3 linked regions of the Drosophila melanogaster genome follow. The protein of the gene in region 1 purifies or fractionates together with the protein of each later gene. This does not show direct contact. Each region holds a gene or a part of one and is shown in the gene's direction. Other genes may lie near its edges.

Region 1 (11,330 bases):
TTTGGACATGGTTCCAATATCATAAGTGGGACTTACGTAAGGTTTAATTTATTGACTTGGGACAATCCATTTATAGACTCAACATTTTCGGAGTAAATATTTATGAAAGTTGAGATAAAAGATTAGCTTTGCGTGTGCGCATTTGTGTGCTATTCATGACAACACCTATACTTGAGTTCGTTTCCTAAGTCTTTCGATTTCTCTTATCATTTCTTGCCTTAATTTATTTTCATCGTTATAGCCCCTGAAATTTGTACTTACATTCTCGCGCACAACATACTGCTTGATCCACTCGTTCTCCAAACTGGTCTCCAGGGAAACGGAGTCCATGCAGCGCCTGCGGCAGTAGTTCCTGGCGGTCAGCCAGTCCTCCTCCACGCCCTTCAGCTGAGGGTCGCGCCACGAGAAGAAGTAACTGCGGGGAGAGAAGCAAACCCTATAGTTTATGTTTTGGTGAGCATATCCTGCTGACTCACCCCTTGCCATCGGGAGTCTTCTCGTGAATGACACGCTGGGCACAGAGCTGCGGATTCGGCGGCTCCAGACGTCCGTTCTGGAACTGAGCGGATCCCAGGCTCAGCACGCTCAACACGCACACTCCGGCGATAATGAAAGCTTTCATTTTTGTTTGCTTTATCAGTCTATTCACTGGCACTTTCTGCGGGCTCGATTTTCTTTTTTGGACTCGCGACGCACTTCTCTCTACCGACCGATCGGCTGGCACTGATCAACTGGAATGTCAAAAGCATTGGGGAACCCCGCCTTATATACGAACCGAGAGTCGCATCGATCCATCCACTCAATTCGATGAGAGCGCCGTACCCCAAAAAGAGAGAATGAGTGGTGGGGCTTTTTTTTTGGTTTGGCGGCAGTACTACACTCGAAAATGTTTATTCCATGAAGTCCTACTGTTGAACACTTCTTTTTTCTTTATAAAAACCATATACTTTCTTTTAATTTAACTTTTTATTTTCAGGATTTTTAGTGTGAGAAACATTGTAACAATCAACGGAGCTGATTGTATGCAAGTCGAAATTTGAATACCCTGTACTACAGAGGCAATAAATTTAGAGATTGATTCATTTTGAAAAATTCCTTTTAAATGTTTTGAATAGATTGGAAAATGGTTAGGCCAGAAGTATTTTAAGCTAAAAACTTAAATGTTAAGATTAGTAGATTAGTAGAATTCTAGCGACTTGCTAGAATTTTTGATTTAAGTAGATACTCGTGAATTTGCACCTATGTATGTATATATTTTAAGAGCAATCTGTAACCCATTTATAAATTGGAGCACGGGGAGAATGGCCTAATCTTCAGTGGCTGTTTAACCAGCAACCGTGAATGATAAGTGGCCAAAGTGGTGCAAAAAAAGGGGAGGGGGGGACGATCGGTGGGCGATGGGTGGCGTTTCTTTGGCTTGCGCATCATTTTGCACCACTTCGCTTTGAATGGCCGTTGAATGGATTGGGCTAACTCCCATCTAATTAGCTTCACAAACACGACACCACTTGAGCCAAAATCGTTTTTGGCACGGAAATTTCGAACTTTTTTTGTGTGCTGCGTCTCCTGTCTCTTTGCATAAATAAATGCATTTTACGCTATTGTTTGCTTCGTCTCAGAAATGTATGTATTTGCCAGTGCTTTTGTCGCTTTGCTCATTGCATAATCTCAACTGATGTGTTGACCAACAATTTATGTCGATTGAAATCGACATAATTGAAATGTAAAGGTCACTTATTAATCAATAAGTTCTGTGGCTACATTAAATACGCACCTATATAACAACTAATCGTACTTATAATTTTAAATGAGCTGCCAAACGTTACATAATGCCGGCCATAAATAGCCAGAAGATATACCCAAACACACTTGCCATTGCATAAGCATAAGAAATGATGCCCATCTACATTATTTTCTCCACAGCTTGGGACCCAGATCAAGGTCAGCCCCGATGAGTACGAAAATTTCACCAGTTGAAAGTGAAGAGTAAGCCGAGCAAACCCGAAAACCCAAAAACCCAAAACCCAAGCTCAATTCACGCATTTCAACATGATCGCCTCGATAAGTTTTGTCTCCTCCGCGCGTTATTTTCTTTATTTTTACATCTTCAACTCACGTGCAGTTGAGCATGTCGACCGAACACAGCCGAAACCAAAAAATGGCGGTTTTTGAAAAAGCAAAGGTATCTGTTAAATCGCACTTTATGGCAATCGGTAAAACGGCAAAAGTTACACGAAGGCAGGTGCCGCTCATTACCTGACACATGTATCTCGTTGGACACTTTGGGCGGATTATGCTGGATGCTGCTGGGCCAGCCGCGCCCATTTCTCAGAAATTTCTATAATATTTAGCAAAATATTTGTATCGATTATTATTAAACTATGCCACAGAGGTGGGTGTTAAGTAAAATTATTTCAATATATTGTACACAGAGTTTGGAAAAATCCCAATTGCTAGCATTGAAAAAATTCCACATATTAAATTTCAAATTTCAAATGACCGGCGTGCAATGCTGAACGACAAAGAGCAATAAAAATTATAATAAATTAGGCAACCCATTTACATGGTCAACACGTGTATTTGCTTAAGCCATGTCTTTCGGGCAAGCATAATTTATTTAATTTGTGTGAGCTACTCGGCGTTACATGAATTCCCGTGGGCACTCTCAAGCCCAAAATGATCATCATCATTTAGCGATAATATTTTTGGGTAATAATCATGTGATAAGGAACCGGGAAACTGGGCCCAACTGTCAAGAGACGCGCAGCCAGCCTATTACCGCATTGCATGCCCTCATATTTACGCAATGAGTTCCCAGACGGTATCGGAATGGGGATCGGGATCGGGAGAGGGAGAGGGAGAAGGGGCTGACTTATGGGCTATGCGGCTGGGACCGATGAGATGAGGCTGGGGAATGGGCCTGGCCAATTTGTCGATGAGTTGGGTAAATATTAAAGGAGAAAGTGCCGCCGTCAGTTGGACCAAAAGTTTTGTACTCTCCTTGTACATATTTCTGTTTTCGGTTTTCTGTTTTTGAAAAATATTTTTGCACAGGTTACATATTGTTGAATTATTTGCACAAAAAGAGAGTGAGGTCAGGTGCAGTCGTCCCAATTTCATCGAGTGTCGATAATTTATGCAAATATGTTCACTAATAGTTATGCAAACGGAAATCTAACCGTGTTTACCACCCATTTTGGATTTCCCTTCGAGTGGCCCCCTCAATGTCAGTTTTTGACTGACCAAAATTTATAAAATGCTAAATTATTCGGCTTAGCAACGTCAATTACTCACGTTATTTAATATTTATGTCAGCTGCATATGACAATAAAAGCATTTTATAATTAAAGTTTGCTTTATGCTCCAGCCGTGATTTGATTACAAATATTGGCAATCCACTGAATCAAAGTCAACACCATTTGATATTGGCTCCGTGTCAATTTCGCAAACACGCCCAAGATCTAAAAGTCAACCGATTGACCCAGAGACCTCGTTTTCAGGGAAGTACCCAAAAACAGGAAGCTCTTCGACCGTGAGTTTCCGGCTATCATTCTAAAACAATATTTGTAATGGAACTAAACTGTTTAGTTACGGAATTCGAGGGGTCAAGCCACATATATACATAAGATATTGACACAATATAGAGAATCTTAATATTTTATTCTTTCAAAATGTGCCATCACATTTTCCTCACATATTTCGATTTGAAGGCCAAAGCTCCATACTTCAATCGATTTTTTTGGCGGCTCAATCAACCGATCAAGCAGCAGGCGCCACATTTAAATTTGTCAGTTGTTTCTTGCATGCTAATGACCGGGTGAAATATTGTAATTAAAAACTACAATGAGTGTTTATTTTAGCAGTATGCGTAAATAGCTGCTCCTCAAACTTTGAAACCCAGTGTTGAAATACATATTTCCAGAAGCATTTGTCGAATGGATAATATCGTATTTGGTTAGCTTTTTGCAAGGTGTCTGCCTTTTGGCGAACGTGGTGACATGTAAGCCCAAAAGCGTACATTAATTGCATTTCAAATAGGCTTTCGGTGGCCTTGGGAACGGTGGCGTATCGGCACGTGATCCTTTTTCCGCCGAGCTGAGGAAATTTATGGCACCCTCACTTCGCTAAAATGCATTAACGCACCGATTAATATTAATTGTGCAGCGGGTATTTACCAACTTTAATAGTTAATTTATGGCAGGAAGATTGATGTAAAGTTTCATGAAAATTGAGATAGTCAGAAATAAAAAGTAATTAAATTCAACCTACTCAGGCTCTAAAGTAATATTTATTTATTTATCGAAAGTAGTATTTATTTATCACCACAATAAAGATCTATGCAATAAAGTCATTTAAAATTTATTTTTTATAAAATTCAAAAAATATCGTTAAATAGTTTTGAACTTTTCCAACAAGGTGGCAATATCTAACTATCGATAGTTTGCCGACGCACACGTTTTTACTGTACCCCAATTTGGTATCACTAATTTATTGCGCTGTATTTTTCTGGATAATTTTCGCGTCGTTTCCTGGATTATTTCATCACTTAGCAAAGTGTGCGTTTGCACATAGGCAAACAAAATAGAGAATTGGGTGAACTTCATCGCCATGGGCCGCCGGTGCTGCGTGGCCAACTGCCCGTCGACGTCGCGTCTGTTGGAGCACAACGGCGTGACTTACCACTCCTTCCCCCTAGATCCCATCATCCGCGCCATATGGATCAAAAACTCTCGCATCAGCCTGGAGCGCCAGATCACCAAGAGCGTGCTGGTCTGCTCACGCCACTTCCGCCGTTTGGACTTCAACACTATCCGCAATGGGAAGTATCTGCTCAAGCCGCGCGTCTTTCCCACCGTTTTTCCATGGGGCAAGATGGATACCGCGGAGATCGAAGCAGACCAACGGGCACTTCAGCACGCCAGCGTGGAGGGAACGACTGAAACCCCGGGAAATGCTCAGTCATCGACCAATGACGATGTGATCAAAGCTACGGTAGACCAAATAGTTGCGCAAATCCTGTCGGAATCTGCAGAACGCAAGGCCACGGAGGAAGGTAAAACAGGCAAGGCGGCGGATGACGTTAAAAATACTCCCGAAAGTGGAGAAGATGCAAACAAGGCAGCTGCAAAGGAACCCTCAGGGACTCCGGTAGCCGCAAGCAGCGAAGCCACAGTCCCAGCTCCTGGATCCGCTTCCAGTTCGAACTCACCTTTGCCCGGCACACCGCCCAAGTACAGCAACCCACATAACCTGACTATTGGCGCCCGTTTGGAGGCGCTCAGTGTGGAAGGCAACTGGTTGCCCGCCCGCATCGTGGAAGTTAACGAGACGGAGCAGACGCTACTCGTGCGCTTTGAGCGCAATCACAAGCTAAAGGTGTCACCTTCGACCAGCGGCAGCTTTCAGGAGTGGATGGCCATCAAGTCGGAGCGGCTGAGGCAGCGCCTCAGCAACCGTGTGCTGCCCGTCTTTGAGCTGGACGAGAAGTGCATGGCCCGCTGGTCGGGGCCGCGTAAGTTTCCAGGAACCATACGCAAGTTGCTGGGCAACGATACCTACGAGGTTCTCTTCGACGATGGTTACGTTAAGAACGTGCGCGCCGTGCACATGAACAAGATGCCCAAGCAGTTGCCCCCTGTTCAGGTAGCGGAAGAGGGTGCCTCAAAGTCACCCACTCCTGTTGGAACTCCAGTAAGCTCTGCACCTGTGGCTCCGAAGCGGGCGAGCACAGGCAGCCTTGGCGGATCCAGTGGCTCTTCGGGCAGCAAGAAGAGCAAATGTGCACCTCAGCGCAGGGATTGGCCGTTGCTGGACATGGCCAGTTTGGATATAGGTAAGAGCACCGAAAGGAGAATGTTAGTTTTGCCTTAAACTTAACTTTCATGTTTGACTTTCGTAACCAACAGCATCCCTTGGACTCCCAGAAATACCGCATGACGGCGAGTGGACTTGTCATTGGGTAAATGACCAGCCTATTGGAACCGAGGGTTTTCTGATTGTGGGCGAGCACCAGAAACCCACTGTTATCGTGCAGGATTGGCGTCTGCCTCCTGGCTGGATCAAGCACATGTACCAGCGGTCCAACGTCCTCGGCAAGTGGGATGTTATTCTGGTCTCGCCCAGCGGCAAACGTTTCCGCTCCAAGTCCGACTTGAAGTTGTTCCTTGAGTCCCAGAATCTGGTCTACAACCCGGATGTGTACGACTTTAGCATCCATCGACGTCGTGCCAAAGACATCAATGCTTACGTCTACACACACGGCTACAATCCGCAGCCACCGCCCAAGCCCAGGCCCATGGATGTGTCGATGAACTCCACGCTGGACCAGAGCATCACGTCGCAACATTCTTTACCTTCTACTCCGATGCCGGTGAAAGAAAGCCAGTACATGGAAGCACCGGTGGCCTCGCTTATGCCACCAGCTGAGTTAATGTCGCCGCAGACGCAGCCTGCCGATGAGACAAAGCCCAAGATAGAAGCAGAAATACTGGAAGCCAGTGAGGGAGGTACCTCTCAGCTTATGTTAGCAGATCCTCATGTGGTGGAAAATGGCTTTGGTAAGTATATGCAATTTGAAATAACATGTGCTATATTAAAATAAATTATAATTCCATATTTCAGCTTTCATTGGGGGCCTAAAAGTCAAAATCCAAGACAATCTTTATGTATGCCCGCGCGAAGATTGCGCCAAGACCTATCGCAAAGAAGACTTTCTGCTAATCCACATTCGCCATTATCACAAGGAGTTTGCAGAGTGAGTAATATTCATTCAAAACTCATGACACCTAACTTACTTTAAATCTACAGACACGTCAGCCACTGTCCAAAGATGCAGGAACTAGCGGTCAAACGTACGCACCCCTCATCCATCGATCAAGTTGAGGCGGTGCCAAAAAACCAAATACCCAACCAGCAATTCTTTGCCAAAATGCACCAGCAGGATTTGCAGCAGTCACGATCGTTTAAACGACAGAGTGTATCAGCTACGGCCACATCTTCAACGCCATCTGACATAACGCCTACTAAGGCCCTGTTATCTCCTAAGATGGAGCCACCAAGTGTGTCGCCAACTGTTGAAAGTGGCATTAAACAAGAAGATGTTTCTCTGGATGCTGGTCCAACTCAGTCGTTTAATCCTTCATTGAGTCGTTCCTGCAAGCGTGCACGCTTGTCGCCGTCGAAGCGGCCATCTGGCTCGCGAAAGAGTAACCGCCAGCGCTCTCAGCGTCGTCCCATTTTGTCAGATAACCCGGCTGGTCATGGCTTAACCGAACAAGATGTTGAGGAGACACGGCAATCTTTTAACACCCCCACTCCGGATACGCGCATCGACTCGAAAAAACGCCGCAGTGGTGCGGCAACAACTCCCATCAGTTCCATTGACTCACCAGCCATGGGAGATTCGGTGTCCACGCCATCATCTAATGACCAGACCGACATAAATGCAGCCCTTGCCCCACCACCAGCTGAAACGTTAAGCAAAGCACCACAGTACATCAAGGAAAATGGTGAACTAATTCGAATTGTGCGCATGCGGCAGGAGGAGATCATTAACTGCATCTGCGAGTATGGCGAAGAGGACGGCCTAATGATCCAATGTGAATTGTGCCTATGCTGGCAACACGGTGCATGCAACGGAATTGTCAAAGAGGCAGATGTACCGGACAAGTATGTGTGCTACATTTGTCGCAATCCGCAGAGGGGTCGGGATTCTATGAGATTTAAGCACGACCAGGACTGGCTATTCGAAGGCAAGTTGCCGGTGGCCGCGTATCACACTGCAAATCCACAGGCCACCAAACAATTCGAGCTCTTGAAGCGCTCGCACACGCTGACCGGCAATTTGCTAGATGCCAAGCGATCGATGCACTCGCTGCTGGTGAAGATTAACATCGCACGCAACCGCTGTCATCCGAAGCTTTATCTATGGGCCAAAAAGTGGGACGAAGACAATCTGGACTCTACTGCGTTGACACCGGTTAAGCGTGCAAAATTGGAGGCCCCCGACCTTCCGAACGTTCCGCAACCGGAAGCTGCCATCGATCCGGAGGAGTGCCAGTACCGTTTGATCGAGCATATCAAGGTGCAGCAATCCTTGGTTCTCGATCGGCTGAATGACATAGAAGCCGAAATGGACGGTTAGTATCCAAAACTAATTTTTGTCACGAGTATATATGAATCTATATATATTTTTGAATTTCTTTTAGAACTTGAAAAGGAGGACACGTTGGATGACTTAAAGGACGCTGACATCTCGACCACAAAAGAGGCGCTGGCCACGTTTATTAAGGAGCTCGAAACCATGAAGCGCCTTGCCAAGCTCAACCAGGTGGCCAATATGAAGCAGACCCTCAGAGATTCTGCCACTAGCAAGTAGCATTTCTATTGATCACGGTTATAGGGGTCTAATGAGGATTTTCTTTTAAGCTATTTTCGAACTGTTTCCATAATTTTGCAGACGTGTAGATAGTAACCGTACAAGCTTTTTCTCTTCAAAAAAAATATTGCTATACTTTATAAAGTTTGATAATATAATGGAATTTAAATGTATATTCTTTTAAAGTTAACCATGTGAGAATACAGAAAATTATAATTTCATGCCCAATTATAAAGTTAAGATGCTTGATGATAAAACCTGACTACAAGACGTCTTTGTGACGTCTTTGTATTCGTGACTTGGTCGCAGTTATGTGTTGTTGGCAATCTCTTTGCTCCATAGCTTGGTTCGCCGCGATGTCGGCAGCCCAGGAGACGCTTTCCGACACCCCGCAGAATAGCACACCTTTGTTAGCCACAACTGTGTCGACCACGAAGGTGATAAGTTTCCGCCCTCGTTATCCATACATCGTCTCCATAGGAGAGAACCTTAAAGGATACTACAAGCACCTTTGCGTGGGCGTTATACTTTCGAATGAGTTCGTGCTCAGTGCAGCCCACTGCATCCAAACGAATCCAACCAAACAACTGTACGTGGCTGGTGGCGCCGATTCGCTGAACAGCCGGAAGCAGACCCGCTTCTTCGTCGTGGAAAGAAGATGGCATCCCCAGTTTAGGGTGCTCGGCGGCAACGACATTGCCGTGTTGAGGATTTACCCCAAATTCCCGCTCGACGATGTGCGATTTCGTAGCATTAACTTTGCTGGAAAGCCTCAAAGGGATAGTGGCACCCAGGCCTCGCTGGTTGGCTGGGGTCGGGTTGGCGTCGGCAAGATAAGAAAACTCCAGGAGATGCCCTTCTTGACCATGGAGAACGATGAGTGCCAGCAAAGCCATCGCTTCGTTTTCCTCAAACCGCTTGACATCTGTGCGATGCATTTGAAAGGACCGCGAGGTCCCTGCGACGTAAGTGGATCAGAAATACGCCAGAAATTCATAATCGAAAATCAATTAAAATTTTTTCAACAAAGAATATGTTTTCCAATTAAATTAAACAAACTACATATAGGTACATTTCAAATATTTAATCATTATAAAATTTGAAACTAGAAAACATATTCCAGTCAAATTCCTTGGTTTGCAATACGTAGCAATTTTTAAGAGGTATTTAGGATATTATTTATAGAAGTCCTATAATTTCTTACCAGGAACAAACACCAATGCTATAAAATAATTTTTATATCAGTTAAATAAGAGTTATTTTAATTTTACATTTCAGGGAGATTCTGGAGCTCCCTTGATGAATGTGGCAAAAGAGAAGCTGTACGGATTACTTTCCTACGGTCGAAAAGCCTGCACCCCATTAAAACCCTATGCCTTCACTCGCATCAACGCATACTCCAGCTGGATTCAGGAATCCATGGACTCTATGGCTGCGAGATTAAAAGTCTTACAAATTAATCGCACTGTATGGAAAGATGGGTTATAGCAGGTTTTACAGAAATATGTATGATCTTTTCTATCTAGGGTTACAATTAAAAGACAATGATTAATCATCAGGAAAGGATCAATATTATATTAAAAAATGTTATTTAATAAAATTTAATTTATAACGAATATTATGGGGATTTTTTTTGGCAGTGATGCGTTTTGGTGTGAATTGGTGCTCTGACCTCGCTATCGATACCTATCGCTTAGACGATGTGAGCTTGCGGCCAGTAGGTGGCGCGCTTATTCCATCCCTAGTTCGGCGTTCATATGAAAAATCAAAACAAAAACTCGAACAACAATTCTATATAAATAAAAGCTTTTTCCAATCGCTCTATTACTACGTAAGTGCCGAACCGTGTGGAAGCCACGCGACCGATTGTAATGTGGTCTAGGCTTATTCAAATATTTCGACCCCTCAGAAGTTTTCGAATGTCGCACTCACCGCCGCCGGCTAGCAATTGCGAGGAGGCTCTCATCCAGCTGAAAAACTTTGGATATGCATTCGATGGAGGTAAGTAGAATGTTGCACAAAGTCGCTACTTGACAATATGATCTTCCCGTTTGCCTCCTGCAGAAGGAGTGCTGCGCAAAGTCGATCCCGCCACTGGGGAGCCTGGCAAGGAACTCTTTTCCTACAACGTCAGCGACGACGCCGCCGAAAACGAGAAGCACTACCAGAAGCTAGCCAACGTATGTACCGCATTCAACCCACATTGCACATGAATATCTTCTGCCGAAAACTATAATCTATTAGGTTTCCTTGATGTCAAGGAATCCACACCTAGGACGAATCCTCTTCAAGAGAAACTAGACCACACAATTCCTTTCCACAAATATTATTACATATGCCCACGTGGGTAGGAATAAGCTTATACAAATACTGTATCCTTTATCGCCCATAGCAAATCCCAGAAATTGTCTACGCTTTGCTGGAGAAAAACGGTCTTAGTCGCACCTACATCCCTTTTGACCAGCCTCCAGAGCGGTCTTCGTTTGTATTCTCGCAACCGGCAAAGCTGTCGCAGTCCAAAAAGTTGCTAGTCCTCATCCATGGCAGTGGATACGTTAAAGCCGGACAGTGGGCCAGAAGGTGTGTATGTTCACTATTTAAACCAAATAATAGAAATGATAAAAATACCTGAATACCAATACAAATGATATTAACATACAAATACAAATACTTACATATTTAATTTTGTTATAGTTTAATTATTAACAATTCCTTGGACCACGGTACCCAGCTGCCTTATGTGCGACAGGCCCAAAAACTGGGATACGATCTCCTCATCACCAATGCCAACGATTGCACACGATTCTACAATGGTAAGGAGAATCCCATCAAGGGCGTCAATACGTCCGTAGAGCACGTTAAATATGTGTGGAAGAATATTGTATTGCCCGCGAAACCCGAGAGTGTGGCCATTGTGGCCCACAGTTATGGTGGCAGTCTTACTCTTGATTTG
Region 2 (9,487 bases), on another chromosome or scaffold:
TGACCCACCAGAAGCTCGTTGGTGTGGATCAGCTCGCCGGGCATCAGCGCCTTCCGTCCAATGGGCACCATAACCTCCACGCTGAGATTCTTTGCGAACTTGTCCAAGTTCCGGATGGTGCTCTCATTATCGCGCTTGAAGGCTTCCCAGCGCTCTGTCTCGCTGGCGTTCGTTTGGAGGGCCTGTCGTACAGGGTTCCATAAAGTAATTACCCCAGTTTCTCCATTCATATATGGTAATTAATAACATTACCTGTAGCAGAGCATCCTCTCGCCGGTCCATTGTTATTGTTGTTTGCGACTTTAGTGTGACCGTAGGTCTATCCAAAAAAAATAATCTTCAGTAATGCATTTTCATATAAATAATTATAGTAACATTATAACCAGTAATTAATATGGATTCAGACATTTATGTGTTACGTAATAAAAACTTAATACAAAACAGTGTTAGTTAAATTTGATTTATTTAAAAATGTACTAACGCGAGTCTGCGCGCCTTTATAGATTTCTACCTTCATAATAATTCTATGTAGAAAAATGGAGAATGAGCTTTTCTCGAATTTCATATTCGACAAAAGCTCTACTTTTCCTCAAATCAGAAAACTCAACTACCAAGCATCGCTCCCCAGCTAGCAAACCACGTAGATAAGAGCAGAAGAGCTCCATATGTCCGATAATAAATCTGCTCCATACGACCCAACAACTACAACCAATTTCCATTTGGTGATAACCAATTTGCGACCACCATATGTGGACATTAGATAGGGCGACAGGTTAGGCAAACATACCAGGTGATTACGACTAATAATTGTGATTGATTTGAACTTTATTAGGTTGCGGGCATTTGCTAGACACAAGCTCACTCGTAAATATTAGAAACGCATCCAAGATAAGCTTCTGTCCGGACTAAGTCACATTGAACAGATGGCTTCGTGGGTCGCGCTACATGGACTGATGGGTTCGGCTAGTTCTTTTTCGGGTTTCCACTCACAACATGATCTGGGGACATGGTTCCTAGATGGTTGACACGGTATATATGTACATAGAAAATATACAGGGATAAAGCTTTTGTTGTCCTACAATCCGACCACCTCAATTGCGGTGCGTGTTAGAGGCTGAGCTTCCGAGTACGGGGAAGTTTTTGGTCAGCTCATGCGCCTGCTGGTGGCTCTTTAAGTCGGCGGTGATGAGGATCTGTTTGCACACCTTGCAAACTTCAAGCGCGGGCACGGATTTGCGCTCGGCGGGCGGCAAGCTGTTCAGGTGTTGTTTGTGCACTAGGTAAAGTTCCTGGAAATGGCGCAAATAATGGAGTTACTCTTTATTTACTATTATGTGGTTTTGCAAACGGGTCTTACCTGTTGCTTACTTATGTCCGGCAGCATGGCCAGCAGCTCCGGGAACAGGTTGTAAAATGAGCTCAACATGGCGCACTGGCAGTGCTCGTAATAGGCTTGGCCAGAACAGGATCCGTCGCGGAACTTAGACGAAAGCAAGCGGAATTCGTTCAACGCCTCTGGGGTCTTGAGCAGGGACATAACCTCATCAACCAATTTCTGGACGCAAGACAAATGCTTTTTAAGTTAATGTTTTCTAACTAATTGGCAAACGACGTTAGCTTACCTGATTCCTGACCTCGGTATCTGGTGGATCGGTGTACGTATAGGGGCTGGGTACAATGTCATACGACTCGCCCAGCGAATTGGTGAACGTGAGATTGTTGGGCAGCTTGGCCACCGAGTTAACAGTCACGTTGGACACGAATCCTGGTGGTGGCTTTAGCGGTCCGCCAGGTTTTAAGCCGGGAGGAGCACGTATTGGCGTAGACGGAGCCCCATTGGTTTTTTGTTCGTTGTTATTATTTCTCTCCTTCGGTTTGGCCGTCTTAGGCTGATTCTCCTGGTTGCTCTTTTTATCCTTCTGCTTTTTATCCTTTTTATTTGCCTGCTGCTCTTGAACATTGTTGTTGCTTGCCTTGGGAGCAGGTTTCGATGTTGGACTCGGCAGAACCGGGGCCGGCGCCACTTTGGCCTTGCGATTCTCCAGCTCACGCTGCTTCTTCTCATTAGCTGGTTTCGACCAGTTCAATGAAGGAGATCCACTGCTGGGCTTTGGAGCAGTCGTCCTGCTTGAGCTGGCGCTGGCACTCGGTCCGAGGCTAGGGAATTCCGCCGCAGTGAGTTTGGGAGCACTCTTCTTCAAAGCCTCCTGGCGCGCTTTGGCCTCGTCCTCCTCCTTTTGTACCATTTGAAGCTTTTGAAAGGTGCTCGGGCTAGCCACTGACACGTAGTCATCGGCTAGAGACCGATGCTTAGCGGAGATGTTCGCCATCGGCACTGGCGATCCGCTAGGCAGCATATCCTCCTCCAGGTTGCGCAGATTCTTCTTGTTCCCCTTACCCGGTAATGCAGGAAAGTCTACCTGCGGCGTGGCTGCCTTTTTGGGCACGGCTGCTGATCGATTTGACACATGCAGGAGCATTCCGTTACCGGGAGGCCCACTTCGACTGCCAGAACCTGCCGCGCTTGTGGGTTTCTTAAAGACAGCTGCCACGGGGTGCTGCGATTGAGCAGCCCGGGCGGCAATGCTGCTGCTAGTGGGCCCAGTAACACCACCTCCATTTCCTCCTCCCAGAGCCGGGAAGTTTTCTTTGGTCCGAGCAAGACCAGAAGTTCCACTAAGATTGCGCATCGAGGGCGGTGGCGGTCTCACCAAGGATACGCTGGGAGCTGTGGAAGCGCCTCTCAATGTGGGAAACTGTTCCTCGTTGCCAGCATCAATGCTCACATGGCGCTGGGTGATCGAAGGCAAATCGTTCTGGTAGTCGTTGTGCTCGTCATTCCTGTAAGGTTTACCATTCTAAGAGTGCCTTCTTCAAATTGGATGGCCGCTCACTCACCTGGTTCTCACGCTGGTTATGCCCTGCTCCGTCTGCCCACTACGGCCACGAGGCCCCAAAGTGATCTCCACCTGCAAGGTGCGCGTCTGCTTGGCCTGCTGCTTGTTGAGCGACTTGCCGTGCACGTTGGCCACGTGCGCCTTGTACTCGATTTCGTTGCGGAATGCGCCGACAAACTGCTCGGTGGCGCACTTACCCTCCTCGCAGAGAAAGTGCTCCGCCCGGAAATGTTCCGCCAGATCCGCATAGTCATTGTAGAACTCATTGCAACCATCGGCGTCGCAAAAGTGGCAGAAGTAGTGCTCGCGGCGCAAATGACGGAACAACTCATCACGGTCCACATAGCGTTTATTGCAGTATTCGCACAACGGATGACCGCGATGCGACCGATTGTCCGGATCGCCCTTGGTGTTGTGTAGCTGCAGCTCCGCCTGAGTGTAGCACCTCCGTTCGAAGGTGAAGATATTGAGGGTCTCGACGCATAGGTCACAGTACAGAAGTTTATGCTCGCTGCGAACATGGTTGCGAAGGCCCTCGAACGTGCGGTATGGAGGTGCATCGCATCTGCAATTTAGCGTAGAAGGGTGAGCCTCAATGGTGCAACTCAAGTGCGGGCAGAATACTCACTTCGGGCAGGGATGGTCGAGCAATTTGAAGAATTGCTGTCTTATCTCTGCGGTGCAGAAGCCGATGCGGTACTTCTTGCTGTATAAATCAGAGCGGTTATTTGCCTCCAGTTCGCGATAGGGCAGCTTGTCCAGTGTGAACAAAACCTGCAAGTGTTTTAGAATTAGATAGAGATTCGGTTCTCTAGACAAGCGCAGGACTTACCTTGGACAGGACGTGGCGGCAGATGGGGCACTCGTTCTGCTGGCAGAGAACCCTCATCCGAGTGGAGCACTCGTAGCACACGGGATGATCACAGTCGCCGATGGAGAAAATTTCCACGTTTTTGAAGCACACCACGCAGGCGTTGTCGTCGTTGCCCGTATAGCTCTCCAAGGCCTCCGGCTTGACAGCAGCGTTATCAGTGGTGGTGTTGGCCACTCCGTCTTTGGGACGGCGGTGGAACGACGGCCTGGCCGAAGATCTCGGTTTTCCGTTCTGCATTTCACTAGAGATTTTGCAGTGAATGGAGGGGGGGAATTTACTTGTTGCCACGGGCACTTGAAAATGTACGTGTAACGACTGCTTTCGGATAAAAGCTGGGGTTTCTTGGATCCCCCGGTTTGTTTACTCTTTTGGAATATCTCGTCAGCAAAATAAAGGGGAATTTTTGCAACGCCAACTCGAAAGCAAGGCAACACGCACACACGACAGACGAAAAGAAAACTCAGAATTTAGAAAACTCGATTGCCAATGTTATCGATGACACTGCTCGGATCCCCGATAGCACCGATAGTTCCCAGTTGGAAGCTTTGTTAATGTTAAGTTAACATGACCAGAATTCGGACAATTTCGCAACGATCAGTAACCAGTACAAGTAAAACCTATTGACTTCGAATTTATAAAAAATTCAATCACTTATATGAAACTTTTAAAATATTTCTAAGTGCTTCTTCTGCAGGTATGAACATATTCAAAGCATATTTTGTTTAAGTTTTTACGATTTGACAAAAACTAAATAATCTTTAAGGTTTTGATAGTTGTCTTATTTATACTGTAAATAGATTTGTATAATAATTATAATTACAATATTGTATTTTATATTTAATAATAATAATTATAATGTTATAGTTTTCATATAATAATATTTATAATAATAGTTCTAATTGTATGAAAAAATGAAGTTCATTCTCCATTGGAATGGATGAAATGGAATCGAGCTATACATTTTCTGAGCAGCACTGTTAACTGTAAAATCGGGTCCTATCGCCCTATCGATAGACTCAACTCAGGGCTGAAGAAAATGTTGGCGAAAATTACAAGGAGTTCATTTTACGCTTCACGTGCGGTTGGTCGCTTGTCCGGCTCGATTCCAACGTCACCAGCGGCCCTTGCCAGCAATTGCAGATATATTCAGATAGAACGGAAGCGCACGAAATCACACGAGATGGCTCTGTACGAAACCGTTGAGAAGGGCGCTAAGAATTCGCCGAGCTACAGCCTGTATTTCAGTGAGTAGAGTAGCGCATTGGGGGCCAAATGTGAATGTGACCCGGCTTAACCCTTTGCTTGCGCATTTGCAAGTTACCCAAACTCGGTGCAGTTAATGCACCTAGAATTAGTTGATCGGTACCGGAATGGTTATGCAACAGGTCAAACCGGACTCTGCTTATTTAACTCGACGCATTATCAGCACTATCAGCCGATCCGATTTGTCTTGCGTCGGAAATGGCGGAAACACCAAGAGTTTCGGCCCCTTTGGGCTTATCTCTTTCCTTTATTAGCCCATATTCCGAATAGCAGATATCGAAACTGGTGGCTGAATTTCGGTTTACTGGCACGCAAATTAGTGACCTTTGTCTAGCCGACAGGTCCCCGGTCACTATTAATCAAATCGCGTGTCCAGGTGTCGCCCATATATCAGGCATAATAATTTCTGGCCATTCTCCACAGAAAACAAGTGCGGCAATGTCATCTCGCCGATGCACGACATTCCACTGTACGCCAACGAGGAGAAAACTATCTACAACATGGTGGTGGAGGTGCCACGTTGGACCAACGCGAAAATGGAGGTCGGTCTGCCTGTCCCTAAGATTCATACTTCTGAATAATACAAAAATTGCATGTCTGACCCTTAGATTAGCTTGAAGACCCCTATGAATCCCATCAAGCAGGACATCAAGAAGGGTAAGCTGCGGTTCGTGGCCAACTGCTTCCCGCACAAGGGCTACATCTGGAACTACGGAGCCCTGCCCCAGACCTGGGAAAACCCCGACCACATCGAGCCCTCCACCGGCTGCAAGGGTGACAACGATCCCATCGATGTCATCGAGATTGGCTACCGAGTGGCTAAGCGCGGCGACGTGCTGAAGGTCAAGGTGCTGGGCACCATTGCCTTGATTGACGAGGGCGAAACCGACTGGAAGATAATCGCCATCGATGTGAACGATCCGTTGGCCTCGAAAGTCAATGATATCGCCGATGTGGACCAGTACTTCCCGGGTCTGCTTCGTGCCACCGTTGAGTGGTTCAAGGTGGGTGGAATTCGATTTTCGGACGATTCCCTCTCTTACCCTTTGCATTTCGCAGATCTACAAGATCCCCGATGGCAAGCCTGAGAATCAGTTTGCTTTCAACGGCGATGCCAAGAATGCGGACTTTGCCAACACCATCATTGCCGAGACCCACAAGTTCTGGCAGAACTTGGTGCACCAGAGCCCCGCATCCGGGTCCATCTCCACGTGGGTTAAATGCCATTTTATACATTTACAATTAATCCTAAGTACGTCCGTTTCGCAGCACCAACATCACCAACCGCAACTCGGAGCACGTCATTCCCAAGGAGGAGGCCGAGAAGATACTGGCCGAGGCCCCCGATGGCGGCCAGGTCGAGGAGGTGTCTGATACAGGTAAGGTTCACTATATTAGATCGAACTTATAGCTGCTTCACCCGATCCCAACCAAAAACACACTACTCCAACACACGCTTTAACCACCAGTAACTTGCAAACAAATTGGTTACACAAACACAACCTGCACGCTTACTAATAGCTACTTTAATTGTCCAGTTAGCAAGCTAAATTGAGATTACTCCATGCTGTAAATACTGCTGAAACCCAATTTATGTAATTGGCTTGCTTGCGTTCGTTAATCGTTGTACATATACTTTATACTGAATGTTATCCTGAAATAAACCCTTTTTATACCAATTTACGTCCTTTGTAATTGCAGTCGACACTTGGCATTTCATTCATCTCAAGTGAGATGTTCTCCTGGGCTGATTCCATCACAAGATCCATGATCTATCTGTAGTCCAATCGAATCGAAAATGCTTGCACTTGTGAATTATTAATACTGAAATATTATCGTACGTTGAATAAAGTTTTGCACCGCAATCAAATTCGCTGTCGATTCCTCTTGAAATATACAATCTTTATTTATATTTTACGACTAGATCCAAACAAGTTTAAATTAATTAAAAGTTATGTAATTGTAAGGCATTGCAATACTACATAGAATCGAATCGAATTATGCCGTGTGGTGTTGCTCAGATGTGATTTCCGTTCTATTGCAGGAGAGCATGTGTGGGAAGGTGTGGAACGTAAAATTTATTGCCGTAACAAATTAACTTAAGCTTACGAAATAAAAGAAATGTACAAATCAGTTAGGCGTTATAAATATGTATAGAAATCTTTAAAAGAAGACAAAAATAGTTATATACATCAGACATTTTGATTCTTGTTCGTTTGTTCGTTCGTTTTTTTGTTTGCTTGTTTTTTTTTTGTTTGTTTCTTCTCATATTTGATTCTTGGCATAACTTTTTGCTTTCCTTCTGCGCGAAGAACTAAAAGAAATAAGCATAATTTACGTAATTCACTACAACTAAAAGCTCCACGAGACTGTTTCATGACAGATGATAGAAATAACATATAGACCAATTTAGACTTTCCGATATAAGTGCGGATAAGTAGCGTGTAATAGTTTAGTAATTGTCTTCATAATTTTTTTTTCAACATTTTTGCTCTGCTTTCTCTTGTAGCTAGATGTTAGCTTAGTTGTTTCTTCAAGTGGTACACATTCCTCGGGTCGATCGTTTCCTGGTTGCCATAGTTTCGTGCCGTGTTCTGCCACAGTTATCAATAATAATAGTTTTAGTTAATAGTTCATAGAATTAAGTAGCTGCTCGTGCCAGTGACGGTGCCAGAAAATCCCAGAGAATCGCACTTTACTTGCGACCCAGGGTATCGCGCCATTCGTTATACTTGTCCATCTCCTCGTGCAGCTGAAGAGCCTCTATGCAGGCGTTGAAGAAGGGCGATCCGAAGCATTCTTGCCTGTGTTCAAAAACAAAAGGAGGAGGAGGAATTAGGAAACCTGATTTTTTTTAATTTGGTGTATAGCTTGCTCAGAAGAAAAAAGAGCCAAAGTTCAAAAGCCATATTCAGGTATGGTTGAATATATCACAAAAATTATTGTTCTCAAAATCTTGTTCTGTTTGTTTGCTCAAAAAATACGAGCTCAACAGTTCGAGGATTATTGAGGAATTTAACAAAAAGTAAAGCATAGTTGGTCAAATTTTTAGCTTGAGTGCTAGTTAAAAGCCAAGAATGCACAAGGTCAAAAATCAAATAATTAATTAAAAACAAAAGAAAATTATAACGTACCAAAACAAAAACGGTAAGCAGGCGTTTTTAGTCGCGCCAGAAACGCGCGCAAATCGCCAGCTGCAGTCTGTCTGTCTCTGTCGCCTTCTGTATGGCGGTCTCTTTCTCTGGCGGTGTCCTGCGTCGCGCATTCGCATTCTAATTCTCATTTATCACAATTTTGATGCTCTCAAATAGCCAGCGAATGATTGATTATCCTTTATTAATTTACAGGGTTTTATTAATTATGTATTATTTATTGCCACATTTGTAATGCAGTCGTTCCGTTCTTCGCGTGTTTTTACCAGGTTTTTGTTTGTGTCTTGCACAAATTGCGATCTTGCGTTTCTCTCTAATATTTAGCATGTGTGTAGGGTACTCGTATTCGGATATATGTAAGGCTTTAGCTTTAGATAGGTATGCATATACTATATACTATATAGGTAAATACATATCTCCGTTTTGCGCCAACAGATTTACACTAATTCAGGGTTTCATCTTTACAAAATAGCACAAAATTGTAAGTGTAATACATTTGCAAAATACTTTCGGTCTCGATTGCGGTGTATATATGTGTGTGTGTGAGTGTGTGTGTATGTGTGTATGTGTGTATGTGTGTGTTCGTATGGGTTTATCTTTATCATTGTAGTTTTGCCCTTGCGGAAAATCGTGTAAAATGTAAACTCTAAATGCTGATTTTACAGTAGAATACAGATACAAAAATAAAAGTTATCATTTTACATTACATAGATTAAAAACAATGGATTTCGTTTTGTTTATTTTATATACAAACCGCATAACGCAATAATAATAAAACAAGCTAAGAATACTTAAAAATAAATACTTCGGCTTCTATGTATATGTGGGGAGTGCGAGATCTGCGATCCTCCTCCTGCACATCATCATCATCATCATCTGATCATCATCATCGCCCATCTCCCACTCCCCAATTATGTTACTTACAACAAACGCATAACGTTCTCAATAAATTAATAAAAATAATTCGTTTTTAAAAAAACACATATAGTAAAAACTGTAAGGCATACAGTAATAAATAAGTACGAATTAAATTTGGGCGTTTTAATATTTTAGATTTCTGTGTTCTGGCTCTGCATGTGTGGTCGTAGTGGGACTGTTTCTCGATCTGGATCTGGATCTATATCTGGATGCGGATGCTCGTTCCAACCCACGATATTCGCACCGATTCTCAGCTGTGTGTGGTGTGTGTTGTTTGTTGTGTGCTGTATGGTGTATGGTGTGTTGGGGCTGTGGGTGTGTGGGGCGGGGACTTAGAGTTATGTTTGCGGCCCCATGTTGAAGGATATGGGCGAGCCGTTCAC
Region 3 (11,551 bases), on another chromosome or scaffold:
TGCACCACAAAAATACTTCAATTACATAAGTTGTCAAAATGGTTGCTTCTATTTGAAATATTAAAAAATGTAAAGAAATCAAACATACATAATGTATTTTTCAAACAGGTGCTTTACTTTTATCTCTTCTAAATGTTGAGATCAGACTAAAGATTAAAGCAGTCATCTTAATTTCCGACAACACGTCGATGCTCCTCCTGTATTTCTTATCTACTCCCAATTAATCGTTGCTGGGGGCCGATTTATTTCCTTATCAGCTCTACAAAAAAAAAAAAAAAAAACAAATTAGCATATATAAACAAATACCATTCCACTGCGGAACTAGAACGGCTTTATATATTTACAGCTGTACACTTATATCGTTATAAACATGCAAATAAATAAGAATAAAAACGCAGAAGAAGTTGCCCCCCCTGATAAAATTTGAACTAAACTTTAGCTGGGATTATTTGAGAATTATAGTATCGAAGAGGGCTTTTTTGGGGGCGCCAAGGGGCTTAGTAATCTAGTACTGGTTGTGGCGCAGAACGCCATTGGGACTGGGCTGCGGGGAGTAGTCCGGCACGGGGAATCCCGAGGTGGCCACCACAATGGTCTCCATGGGATTCTGCGAAGATTGCTTCAGCGGGCGACTTTGCTGCGGATTCGGAGGCGGGTACTGCTGGTACGCGTTGAGGTCCCTGAAGCGACGATCCATTAGGTTCGAGTCCATCGACAAGTGCGCCGCCCGCACGATGGCTCCCTCGTTCACCTGGATGGTCTCGGCCATGGAACGGGTTTCCGGAACGTAGGCGGCATTGTTATACGCCTGGACCTCCACCCTGTCCATACAAATCGAGAATTATTTTCAAGACATTAAGGATGTGTGAATCGTTATACTTACTCCTCGTAGGCGCGAATCGGGGTCCTGGTGGTCAGAATATCATTGGAATCCTTGCGAGGATTGAACAAAGTATCCTGTGGAAAAGGGCATGTTTGTTTGATTTTAGGCAAGATAGCTATAGCTCATTCAAGATTTTGTAATTAATTTATATTAAGGAAGATATTTGAGGCTTTTTAAGGATACTTTAAGTGTACACTGAGTTAAGAACACCTCAGTTCAAGCGAACTGTCCTTGCAAAGAACCCCCGCACCTAAGGCCCAGTAAGTCGTCATTTTCCAGCGTGCTCGGTCAAACCAAACCGAAAAGCCAAGAGCCCGCTATCAGGCAAACCTGGTGCCAAATTGGAAACCAGCTTATCAGCAATTACCACCACCACATTGAGTTAATGGCGACAAAGTGCTAAGTTTAGCCATGTCGTAGTCGCTGCCCGGCGATTTTTAACTTCTACGTTGTTGGAATATTTTCAAAGGCAGTGTCGAAAATTTATGGAATCAGCGGAGACAACGAAGAAGTCACTCAGCATTGGTGGGCGATGAGCTCACTCGCCGACCTGACCACAACTTACCACATTGTCCTTATCGGTGGAAATTCGAATGGCTCTCGCGACAAGGTATGCGAGCAGTCCAAAGTTAATGAACCACAGAACGAATCCCTTGAAGGAGATGACCATCATGGAAATGGCAGCCACTCCTCCGGCGATCAAGGTGGCAGCCAAGGGATAGATGACACCAGCATTGATACTATTGGCATTATACCTCAGAGCCTCCTTGTGGAAACGTCCGTAGTCCACGCCGAAGATCACTCCAGAAGCTACATCCATGCAGCATATGGTGGCCACGAAGAAGGCCCAGATGTAGATGGCAGTCACGGTCTGCTTCGGGTTGTCCTTGCGCACCCCTGAAATGGTAAGAGTATAAGCGGGTTATTAACTTAAGTGTAATCCATTACGGGCAAGTGCTGTCAGGAACATAACAGGGCGCTAAACATGTGATACTTAAATGGGCTTACTTATTGGCGATACATCAATCAATCTTATAATGGAGTCATTAGGTAATATAATTTTAAAGACCATTATGTACGAGTAAAGTATGCTCTAAAATGTGTCAAAAAGCTAATCACTTTGGTTTCAAAATTAAAGTAAATAGCACTTAACAAATTTTAATTAATCAATTACTAGATAAGATATGTTTCGTACATATTTGAGCAGTATTAAGATTGAGTCATAACTATAACTATAACCATGCTACTATATTTTAACTTTAGAAAACGAATTGTATGAATGAATATATCTGTCTATAACAAAGAATAAGACTTTCCAGTTTACTTGTGGGCTAATGTGCTTAATTCTTTGAAAGCCAATAGCAAATGCTGAAAATTGTATATGGTGGGAAAGAACCATTAATGAAATCGTTATATAACCCATCATATAAGTTCCCAGCGAACTTATCATCAAGTTTTGTTTATTTGGGCTTTACGGCTGTGTGCCATGCGTAAGTTTTGGATGCCTCACAAATAAATTTCTAGATTTCTCCTCGTGAATCATAAAGGCTTCGATATCTTAACTATGTATGCAGTTCATTTCCGGTTCTTAAAGTACTTACACAGTAGCAGCACAACGGAGACGATTAGCCAGCAAACCGAAACGCCCAGGTAGACCGAATTCCAGATCAAAATCTGGGTGGGATCAAAAACAGTAGTCACTGTATTCAGGATGGTTTGGTCGTAGTTCTGGTAATCACTGGGATTCATCTTGCAACTGCCCTTGAAGTACACGTCAAAGAATACAGTCTTGACCATGGAGCCATAGGTGAGGTCATTTGTAATATACAGGACACAATTGTAGGCACATATCGCTGTTATGGTCAAGCCCATCCAGATGATGGACTGGGCCTGAAATAAAAATAACAATAAAATAAGAGGAGTTCTCAAAACGTCAGAGCCACACTGAATAAAAATGAGCACTATTTTTAATCGGTTTTTGTTTGTCATGTTTTTTTAAATTTATATTTATATTGAAAATTAATTAAATAAAATTGTTTTATCGTTTGTTCTTCGTGTTCCGTCATTAAAGAGGTTGGATGGCTTCTAGATCGTGATATTATTCATACCCAGCGAAATATCCAATTTTGTATGTACTTATTTACGTTTACGTTTTTTAGTGTCCCAATCTAGATCTTTTGTTCATTCACTTGTTTACACACGTCAATCGGCATTATCTGATATCTGTGGTGCGGCTCAGTTCTTCAGTTTGGGAGCCGTCCCGGATGAGTCAATGAGTATTATACTCGTATCATGATTAGCTCTCCGACTGTTGGAATACTGGACTATTCGATAGGGAGAGACCATCCAATCTTAGTAAGTGCGCTCAATGTCAGGTCGAACATCTCCCCATATCACTTATCGATGAGCTGGGAATGGGGTCGCGGTCGCTTGGCGGCCTAGACTGTAACATTGAATTGCCAGCGCCGACTTACCACTCCGAGAATTCCGGCCCAAGCTGCTACCGTTTTAAGGGAGCCAAAGTGCTTGATTTTTGCCGCTGGTGCTGAATACATTTTGCAGTGACTGTTCGATATATAGGGGTGGTTTCCAGATACTGGGAGATATTCTCACGCCCCGTATGCGGGACTCAAATCGATCGGGTTGAGTGCGCTTTTGCAGTACGCGACGTCTGTTGGCCAACTGAACGATCGAGCCGGACAATTGAGTTCGCCACCCGTTTACTATATTTCCCGATAAACCTTGCGATAATGGCTCTTATAACAAAAAGCCAACTGGCCAGGGGCTTTTATTTTTTATGTTTCGCTTCGATCGAGGCGGTATCCGCTCGCTTTTCGTTTCGTTCGTTAACTGAATTCTGTGGTTTGGCTGGAACGTTTATCAGGTCGTATGTTATATTATCGCTACTGATAAGAGAGCCCCCTTCCCTTCAACTTTCCTTTGGCTAAAAGATATACCTAAATCGAATAGGTAAAACTGGAATTTCGGAATCTTATCGGTCCTATGTATTAGCACATTAGTGATGTTGGCCTTTATCACTGCGTAAATGCAAGTATTTAATGCTTACCTCACAGGTTGGGTATGCCAAATATTTACGAGGAGAATATTTGTGAATTTAAAGTGGGCGGGCAAAGGCGCCCTCTACTGTCTACAAAACGCACTGTTAATTTTGACATTGCATGATAGGAATGACGCTGAGCCTTTTTTCAAGACAAAATGTGCTAATTATTTACCTTTTACAAATACAAGCACAACAAGTAAGTATTTATTTGTATTTAACCACTCAGCAATCGCAATAAGAAAAATAAATGCTTTATTATTTCAAGTAAATAATTACGTTATCGTAATGAACGGCAACGCTGTGAGATTTTCTCTGTCTGACCATGGTTGACCTCCCAGGCAGCCGCCATTTCCGTGGCGTGCGAGTGAAACGACTAGCCCATGTTTTCCCGCCGTGCCAGGGCAGCGAGCATGCTAAAGAGCGAGACGACCATACGCGTCCGTCGAGAACTGCTACAGCACATACGCATTTTTAACCCTAAAAAATACAGCACCGAGTCTTTAGTACAGTCAAAGTGACGCCGCGACAACTCAGAACGAAACCGAAAATTAAAAACGGAAGAGATTGTTGTTCCTGGTGTCCAAAAAAGATAGATTGTTTCGTTCGAGTGGCTCATCCGTACCCGATCGATACATAAATCCCAGCAAGCTGCCAAACCGGAGTGCAGAAGTGTAGTTTGTCGTAATCGCCGATTAATATTGAAAGGTAGCGGCTTGCAGTTGCGCGTGTAGCGCCCGCACAAACCGAATAACACCATCACTACGGCGTGCTCACCTGAATCCAAAACGCCACGAAATGAACAACCAACTGAATCCGGCCACCTACCGCAAGTTTAACAATCTGCTCAGTAGCGGAGCGGTCACTGTGACCGGTCCCAGCCAGCCGCGAATCCTCAAGTCGACGCGTATGGTGGTACCCGGTGGTGGCGGAGGAGGAGGTGCCTCTGCCGGAGGAGCCTCAGCCGTTGGCGGCGTAGCACAGCAGCAGGCGGTCAACGATGCAGAGTCGGGTGGCGTGGGTATCGGCGGATTAGCCACGCGATGCTATATCTGCGATGACCGCTGCGAGCCACAGACTTCGCTAACCGATATGTGCACCACGCACACTTCCACCAAATTCCCCAACAAACTGGCCCAGCTCGTGGGCGAGGGTTTCCTCGTGATTGTTTGCGGCGAGGATTACGTGTGCTCACGCTGTACCAACCTGGTGAACTACTACGACCGCCTGGAAAACGATGTGGAGCGCGTCAAGACGAACCTCATCAGTTTGCTTAACAAGAAGTATGCCATTAACGAGGATATGGGCCAGGAAGGCAGTCCGCCGCTCAAGATGCAGAAAATGGTCGGCGGATCCGCCAATCGCTCGTTGGAGGAGAGTCCTAGTGCGGATTTGCTGCGTCCACGTAAACTCCTGCAGGGAAACCCAGGTAAGTACATAAATACAGAAATTATAAAGCTTTCCTAATGCATATTCTGCAATCGTACAGTTGGCCAGTCCAAGATCGCCCCAGGAACCACCCAGAGCAGCGTCCAAGGCACCCAGACAGTCCAACGCAAGGCCACCAAGATTTATAAATGCACCTCGTGTGACTATAAAACCTCGGATATGCGGCTGTTCAACACGCATTATGAAACCTGCAAGCAGCAGACCTTCCAGTGCAAGACCTGCCGCAAAATCTTCCCGCACTTTGGGGCCATGAAGCAGCACATGGTGCGCGACCACAATACCGCCATGGATAACACGTGTGCCATGTGTCACATTAACTTCGTGAACGAGAACAGCCTGCGCAAGCACATGGAGACGAATCACGCTACCAATGTACTGGTGACCAGCACCACCACCATACCGGCATCAGCTGCTCCCGTGGCTGCTGCTGCAGCTGCCGCTGCAGCTGCTGCCAACGAGAATCTGGTTGGAACATCGCTATACACATGCAATCATTGCCAGTTCAAGTCAACGGACAAGGTCGTTTTTGATGAGCATATGCGCAAGCATGCCGCTGGTAAACCTAAGCCTTTTAAGTGCCGCCTGTGCTCTCAGCGCTTTGAGACGCGCGAAGCTGCTACTGTGCATGCCAAACAGCATCAGACCAACTTCTTCAAGTGCGGCACTTGTTCGATGACCTTCCCGAAACGGGAGATGCTTGTTAAGCACTTCGAAGTGCATCAGAGTCCTTCCGCATCGACGGTATCGCCCAAGCAGTCAGTTAGCCAGAACCTGAACACCCAGAAGCTCCTTCAAGAGACCATTGATGAGGCACTGAGCGATAGCCTGCCTGCTTCGACAGCTGCTGTGGTGGCAACCACCGAGTCGGAGAACAACATACGCTTCTTCTCGTGCAGCATTTGCTCACTGACTTTCATCCAGGAGACATACTACAACCACCACATGGAGACCCACAGACGTGACAAGAAGGCAACTTCGGCCGGAGCCACTGCCCTAAATTCGGCAGCTACGGCTTTACTAAGCGATGAGCCCGGAGAGGCAACTGGTAAGGCCGGTGACGAGAGCGGCGAGCAAAACGCAGAGGCCGACATTGAGAGCCTGTTTGAAAAGCTCCACTCCGACAAGAACGAGAGCGGTGAGGCGCCCAAACCGGGAAGCAAAGGCGGCGAGATGGTTATTACCTCGCAGGAGGGCAGTGGAGGCATAACCTTCAACATTACTATCCCGCAACCGGACGGAGACCAATCGCAAAAGGATTCGCCCAATACCACAGCACCTGTCTCTGTTAGCATTGACATGCCAAATTTGGATCAAGCCGAAGACGAATCACAGTCCCAGGGCAGCATCGATGCCAAGGGCGAAAGCGGCGAGGCCTCCTCTGCCGATAGCAAATCCAATGCCGCACCGGTTTCCATGCCCAGTTTAGATGATGACAACGAGGCTGCAGCTGCTGAAGCTGAGGCCTCAGAGGAAACCAAGACGGCTAGCAAAGCAGGTCAAGAGAAAGCCAAGGCCAAGGCTGGAGAAAGCGCCAAGTCAAAGGAAGCCGCCGCTGCTGAGGAACCACAACCATCTGACGAAGGAGACGTAGTTGCTAAGCGTGAGGCTACAGATACGCCCACAACTGAGTCGGAGGCCAATGCCACGACCGCTGAAGCCGGTGAATCTGGCGAAGGCGAGGTTACTGCCAGTACTGGAGCCGAGGGCGAGGCGGGTGAAGCTGCAGGTGGCGAGCATGTTGCCATGGAACTTGACGAAGCCATGCAGGCACAGGTGGAAGGTGGCCAGATCAAGTTCATTGTTAACGAGAACGGCCATCTCCTCCAGCTGGACAACCACATCCTGACGGACGCCGAAGGCAACCAAATAATTGTGCAAGATCCCGAGCAAATACAGCAGCTGCTCCAAAGTGTAGGAGTTCTGCAGTCCGGCGAGGGACTTGAGGGCGAAACCCTCCAGATGATGACCGATGGCAGTGGCCAGATGGTACTTGTCCATGGTGACAACAATGAACAGCAGCTTATCGATGCCTCCCTGTTGAACTCCGAGGGGCAGTTAATTATCCAGCAGGGACAGGATGGTGAGGAAGGCGCTCATGTCATTAGCGAGGATGGTACCCGCATCCCAGTGTCCGTGTCGTACACGGAAGATGGCCAGCCCATCGTCCAGGTTCAGCAACAGGTCCTGGAGGCCGCACAGCAGGCAGCCAGCGCTTCCGGAGGTGCAGATGACAAGGAGGCGGCTGCCGACTCGGCCGGCGAGGAAGTGCAAGTGTCGGAGGCATCTAGTGGCACGGCATCCACCACCGTTGTTGCCACGAGCACGGCCAGCAGCACTGGTGGCCCCTCCGGCGGCAGCTTTTTTGCCCTGGAGGAGTTTACGGAGACAAAGACCGACTAGGATTGGCCCTAGGGGCGTGGTCATGACCACTATACCATACTGGCATGCGAAGAGGACTGGTAAGTTAAAGGAATCACCAGCGTGAACTGGGATATTCATACTTTTTCGTTTGTTTTAGGTTTTAGCTGTGGGCACGCTCAAGATCTCTGGAGGACTTTTGCACACCCCAATTTGAAACCCACTCCCTGACACCCACAACCGAACCAACTTTACAGACAACTGAACACGAAGACAGAAAAATACACACACGAACCTTTTCAATATATATTTACATTTAGTATATGTATTAAACACTCCAGTAAACTAAAAGAAAGATTTCTTATTACCCAAGCAAAGGAAAAAAACTAATTCAATAAATCAAATTGTTCATTCGGTCCGTTTCGCACTAGGCTGCCAGGGATCTCAAGCCAGATCTCTTTGGTTGCCTCTTAAATATCGTATCTAGGTTTAGTAATAGTATAGACAAAACTGCAAGATGAAAGCGACAAAAAATGTATAAACATAGAGTTTATGTGAGAAACTTGGAATATAATAAATGTATGTATTTACAAGATAACTCAACAATTACACTAAATAAATCGATTTAAACACAAACATTTGATGAAAATTAAGTTCCGAAATCGGCACAAATCAATTCAGAAATAGTGATGCTTCCTAACACCTAGTGATCCCCGTAAAATGTAAGGATAGGTGAACAATCCCGCTTTCCACTTCCATAAACTCCAGATTCACACCCAAAACAAACAAACACAGGCCGCAAACACGCCCAAATATATGCATGCACGTATATATGTCAAGCAACTTGAAATATATAATTGTAAAGAAACGAACATCGGTTTCAAGTTCCTTTATACTCTGTGAGCGATCTTTGGAATTTGGTATGCATGTAAATCAATTCAGATAAGTTAATTAAACGCGCTGATGGCAACTGTGTTCCAATGAATACAGATGACACAGAAGGCAGTCCCAAAGTTTACATATTGTCAGTATGGATCCAACCATTCATTTCTCAAGTCAGTAAGTTCGTTGACCTTTAAAATGGATTAGTCGGTTATGAATGATATTTTCGAAGTATGCATACCAGCGAAACTTTCGACTCGTTCTTAATTGCCCAACACCTGTTGGCGGCGGATGAGGTCGACTATATTTAAATGTTCAGGTAGTTGATTAATAAGATTTAATACTAAGTTGGATACTAAACTGCCAGCGGTGGCATTAAAGCATTTGGACTGTCATGAAGGCCTTATGAATGCCCCGTTCCGATCCATAAATCAGTGAATGTTGTGATTCTGAAAACAGCAACCGGATTGGCACGTGGATGCGGTTTTGGAGGAACTAATGATTATTTCATAGTTATGAATACAAAAATAGGACGCGTACAAATTGGTGATCTGCGCCTGCGGGTTGTTTGTCATTTATATAATGGATTTGTTGAAAGGAAGATAAGATAAACGAACTCGCCATGAATAATTTATATTCGAATACGCTTCAATGGAAGGGAGTTGTTCTAGCAACTAACTCATTCACTTACACGGTGAACTTTTGGCGATGGGCGCGGTAATCTTTTCGAGGCCGGAACCAAATTGGGGATTTAGTTTGAGCCGACAGCATCAATCAGCAACTTGTTGCGGTTCGGTGACATTAAACGGTGTCAACTCCACTTGGCTTGCTAGTCTGTCGGTTACATTAAGTCGCTCTTCGAGAGTCGGTCAATATTATGCAACGGCCTTAATTAGGCGCCCACATGCAAATGAGCGACGGCAGGCGCAATCTTCTCGCCGATTGCCGCATCGAAAAGCGAAAGTCGTTCTTAAAGACAAGGTCGCACTTTGTATCGGATCAGATTGGATCGGATGGGTATGACAGATTTATAGCGAAGCTCACAGATCTAGGGTGCGCTGATGAAAGCTGACATTTCGGTGCGCTTGATTCGCTGGTCATTAGCATAGAAAACATGACTTCGACTAGTTTTGCGGTCCATAAATCTTAAGCTTTAAAAAGAGCATTTAAAAGAAGCATTCTTAGCATATTTCATAATTATAGTTGCCGGTTTCAACACGCTCTCGATAAACTAAGTAAGACTAAAATTGCGTTTCACTTATAAGACATAAGCATTAAAACTGGATTTGATTCGTTTTGCACTCCATGAGTCTTAGCTTTCTTTGAGACAATAGTTCTTAAAAAAGTTTTCTATTATTACCAAGAAATAAGATATTATTACAATTACATTAAATTAAAGCGTTACATTTTATTCATTCTTTTCTTCTGCATCTATTAAATAATTTTTTTAATTTTTATATTTTTATTTTTACCGATTTCTTTACCGATTTCCTTATTTGCATGTCAGTAAGCATAACCCCTATGGGTTTTTTAAATTGAATTCCACAAACATGCTTATCATATTTTAGCCAGTTTCACCATTGCAGTACTCGTATAATGTACGGATTTTGATTGCAATTTATTGAACATAGTTCCTGCATTTAGGCAAACTTTCCGGACTCCAGGAACGCAGATCAATTAAGTCTAGCACTTTATTTATAATTCTAGAATATATATTGACTTGCTGTAGATTTTGGCATGCTTTTGTTGTTCTCTTCTGGTCCGATTTGCATGGAAAAACAATTAACATAAATACGAAATAAAAATATTCCGAAGTGTAACGACGATATTCAGCCAGCCCATCGACAGCTATTTAGAAGTCAATATATAATTTTTTTAATGTCCTGTTTTTTTACCAACGTCTGGACCGAATCTCATCCACCGGTGGATGCGTGCGGATGTACTCCAACTGGCGGATAACGTGCAGCGGGATGGCGGGAATGTGATCTCCGGTGGGCTGATATCCATTGGCATCGGCCACGTACGAGAAGGTAACGGGTATACCCTCGGGAGAAACGAACTGAACCACTCCGACGGCTCCGTTCTCATTACCAGCTCCCTTGGTGGTAATGCCGTTGGTGGTCTGGAACTCGAAGCTGTAGTGACCGAAGGGATCGGGTGGCGTATTCCGGTAGTAGATGGTCCTGTCCAAAGATGGCGCAGTAAAGCGCGTACAATGGATTAGTTGAACTAGGACTAGGACCAGGAATACCACAATCTGAGCGCATGGTTGGGAGTTCAGTTGGTTAATATCAAATACCAGTCACAAAACGTCGCACAAACCTTGCCGAACGACATCATCGCCTAATTACATTAAAATTAATTCAAATGTTTGCCTTTACGCTGTGGATCTTGAACCTGATATATCGATACGGCTGCCTCTGAACCAGAACCAAAGTCAGTACCCCAGTATTAACCGTTATGGAGCGGCAGTTATTAGCGACGCGATCTGCTGCGCTCGAAAGTTAAATTAAAACTGGTCAAAAATCATTTGACGAGGCCGAAAAGGAAGCTTTCGATTTCAATAGAGGAAGCTTCAGCTAACCAGTGGGCTCTCTGGATTCGTTCTCGGAACATCAGACGTGGAAGCCAAACAGCATAGCCCGGGAATTGGTGCAACCGAAAAGCAGAGGCTTTATTTCCCGACGAAAAAATACAAGTTCGTAGCCCGGGTTTTGATTTATATTGAATTTGTGCTAATGCCTGGCCATTATCGCCTCACAATGAAGCTGTTTTGGATTTTTCGGGGTCCATTTGTAGGTGTGCCTGCATAGCAGTCCGATCTGAAATCGAAAGTTATGCACAGTGGTTTGACTATGATTCACACGTCCAACTTGCAGACATCCTAGCCGCTGACATATTGTGCCATTTAGTTATTCATA

What was found.
Region 2: the proteins of MBD-R2 (region 1) and Nurf-38 purify together in Drosophila melanogaster (affinity purification with western blotting, with the first as the bait; one study listed by BioGRID). This does not show direct contact.
Region 3: the proteins of MBD-R2 (region 1) and pzg purify together in Drosophila melanogaster (affinity purification with western blotting, with the first as the bait; 2 studies listed by BioGRID). This does not show direct contact.

What each region holds. Positions count from the first base shown.
Region 1 is NT_033777.3:12,349,422-12,360,751, reverse strand, and holds MBD-R2 (MBD-R2), read left to right. Parts: upstream 1-4,486; 5' UTR 4,487-4,608; coding exon 4,609-5,833; intron 5,834-5,906; coding exon 5,907-6,557; intron 6,558-6,621; coding exon 6,622-6,754; intron 6,755-6,807; coding exon 6,808-8,138; intron 8,139-8,207; coding exon 8,208-8,377; 3' UTR 8,378-8,609; downstream 8,610-11,330. Other genes in the region: CG4115 (uncharacterized protein), read right to left, coding at 262-415, 477-622; CG10041 (uncharacterized protein), read left to right, coding at 8,689-9,342, 9,656-9,865; CG10038 (uncharacterized protein), read left to right, coding at 10,249-10,378, 10,442-10,557, 10,770-10,957, 11,072-11,330. UniProt on the Drosophila melanogaster protein: Component of the non-specific lethal (NLS) complex, a multiprotein complex that promotes expression of housekeeping genes on X chromosome and autosomes.
Region 2 is NT_033778.4:24,556,381-24,565,867, reverse strand, and holds Nurf-38 (nucleosome remodeling factor - 38kD), read left to right. Parts: upstream 1-4,780; 5' UTR 4,781-4,807; coding exon 4,808-5,015; intron 5,016-5,457; coding exon 5,458-5,576; intron 5,577-5,642; coding exon 5,643-6,038; intron 6,039-6,093; coding exon 6,094-6,245; intron 6,246-6,303; coding exon 6,304-6,413; coding exon of another isoform or gene 6,414-6,445; exon of another isoform or gene 6,446-6,716; intron 6,717-6,735; coding exon 6,736-6,767; 3' UTR 6,768-6,901; downstream 6,902-9,487. Other genes in the region: uri (unconventional prefoldin RPB5 interactor), read right to left, coding at 1-182, 253-282; CG11414 (uncharacterized protein), read right to left, coding at 1,092-1,289, 1,358-1,555, 1,623-2,841, 2,899-3,462, 3,526-3,671, 3,730-4,008. UniProt on the Drosophila melanogaster protein: Component of NURF (nucleosome remodeling factor), a complex which catalyzes ATP-dependent nucleosome sliding and facilitates transcription of chromatin.
Region 3 is NT_037436.4:21,281,698-21,293,248, forward strand, and holds pzg (putzig), read left to right. Parts: upstream 1-4,401; 5' UTR 4,402-4,739; coding exon 4,740-5,370; intron 5,371-5,430; coding exon 5,431-7,790; 3' UTR 7,791-7,849; intron 7,850-7,908; 3' UTR 7,909-8,613; downstream 8,614-11,551. Other genes in the region: CG12974 (uncharacterized protein), read right to left, coding at 506-821, 884-957, 1,449-1,780, 2,485-2,773, 3,358-3,438; Cpr78Ca (cuticular protein 78Ca), read right to left, coding at 10,522-10,887, 10,953-10,970.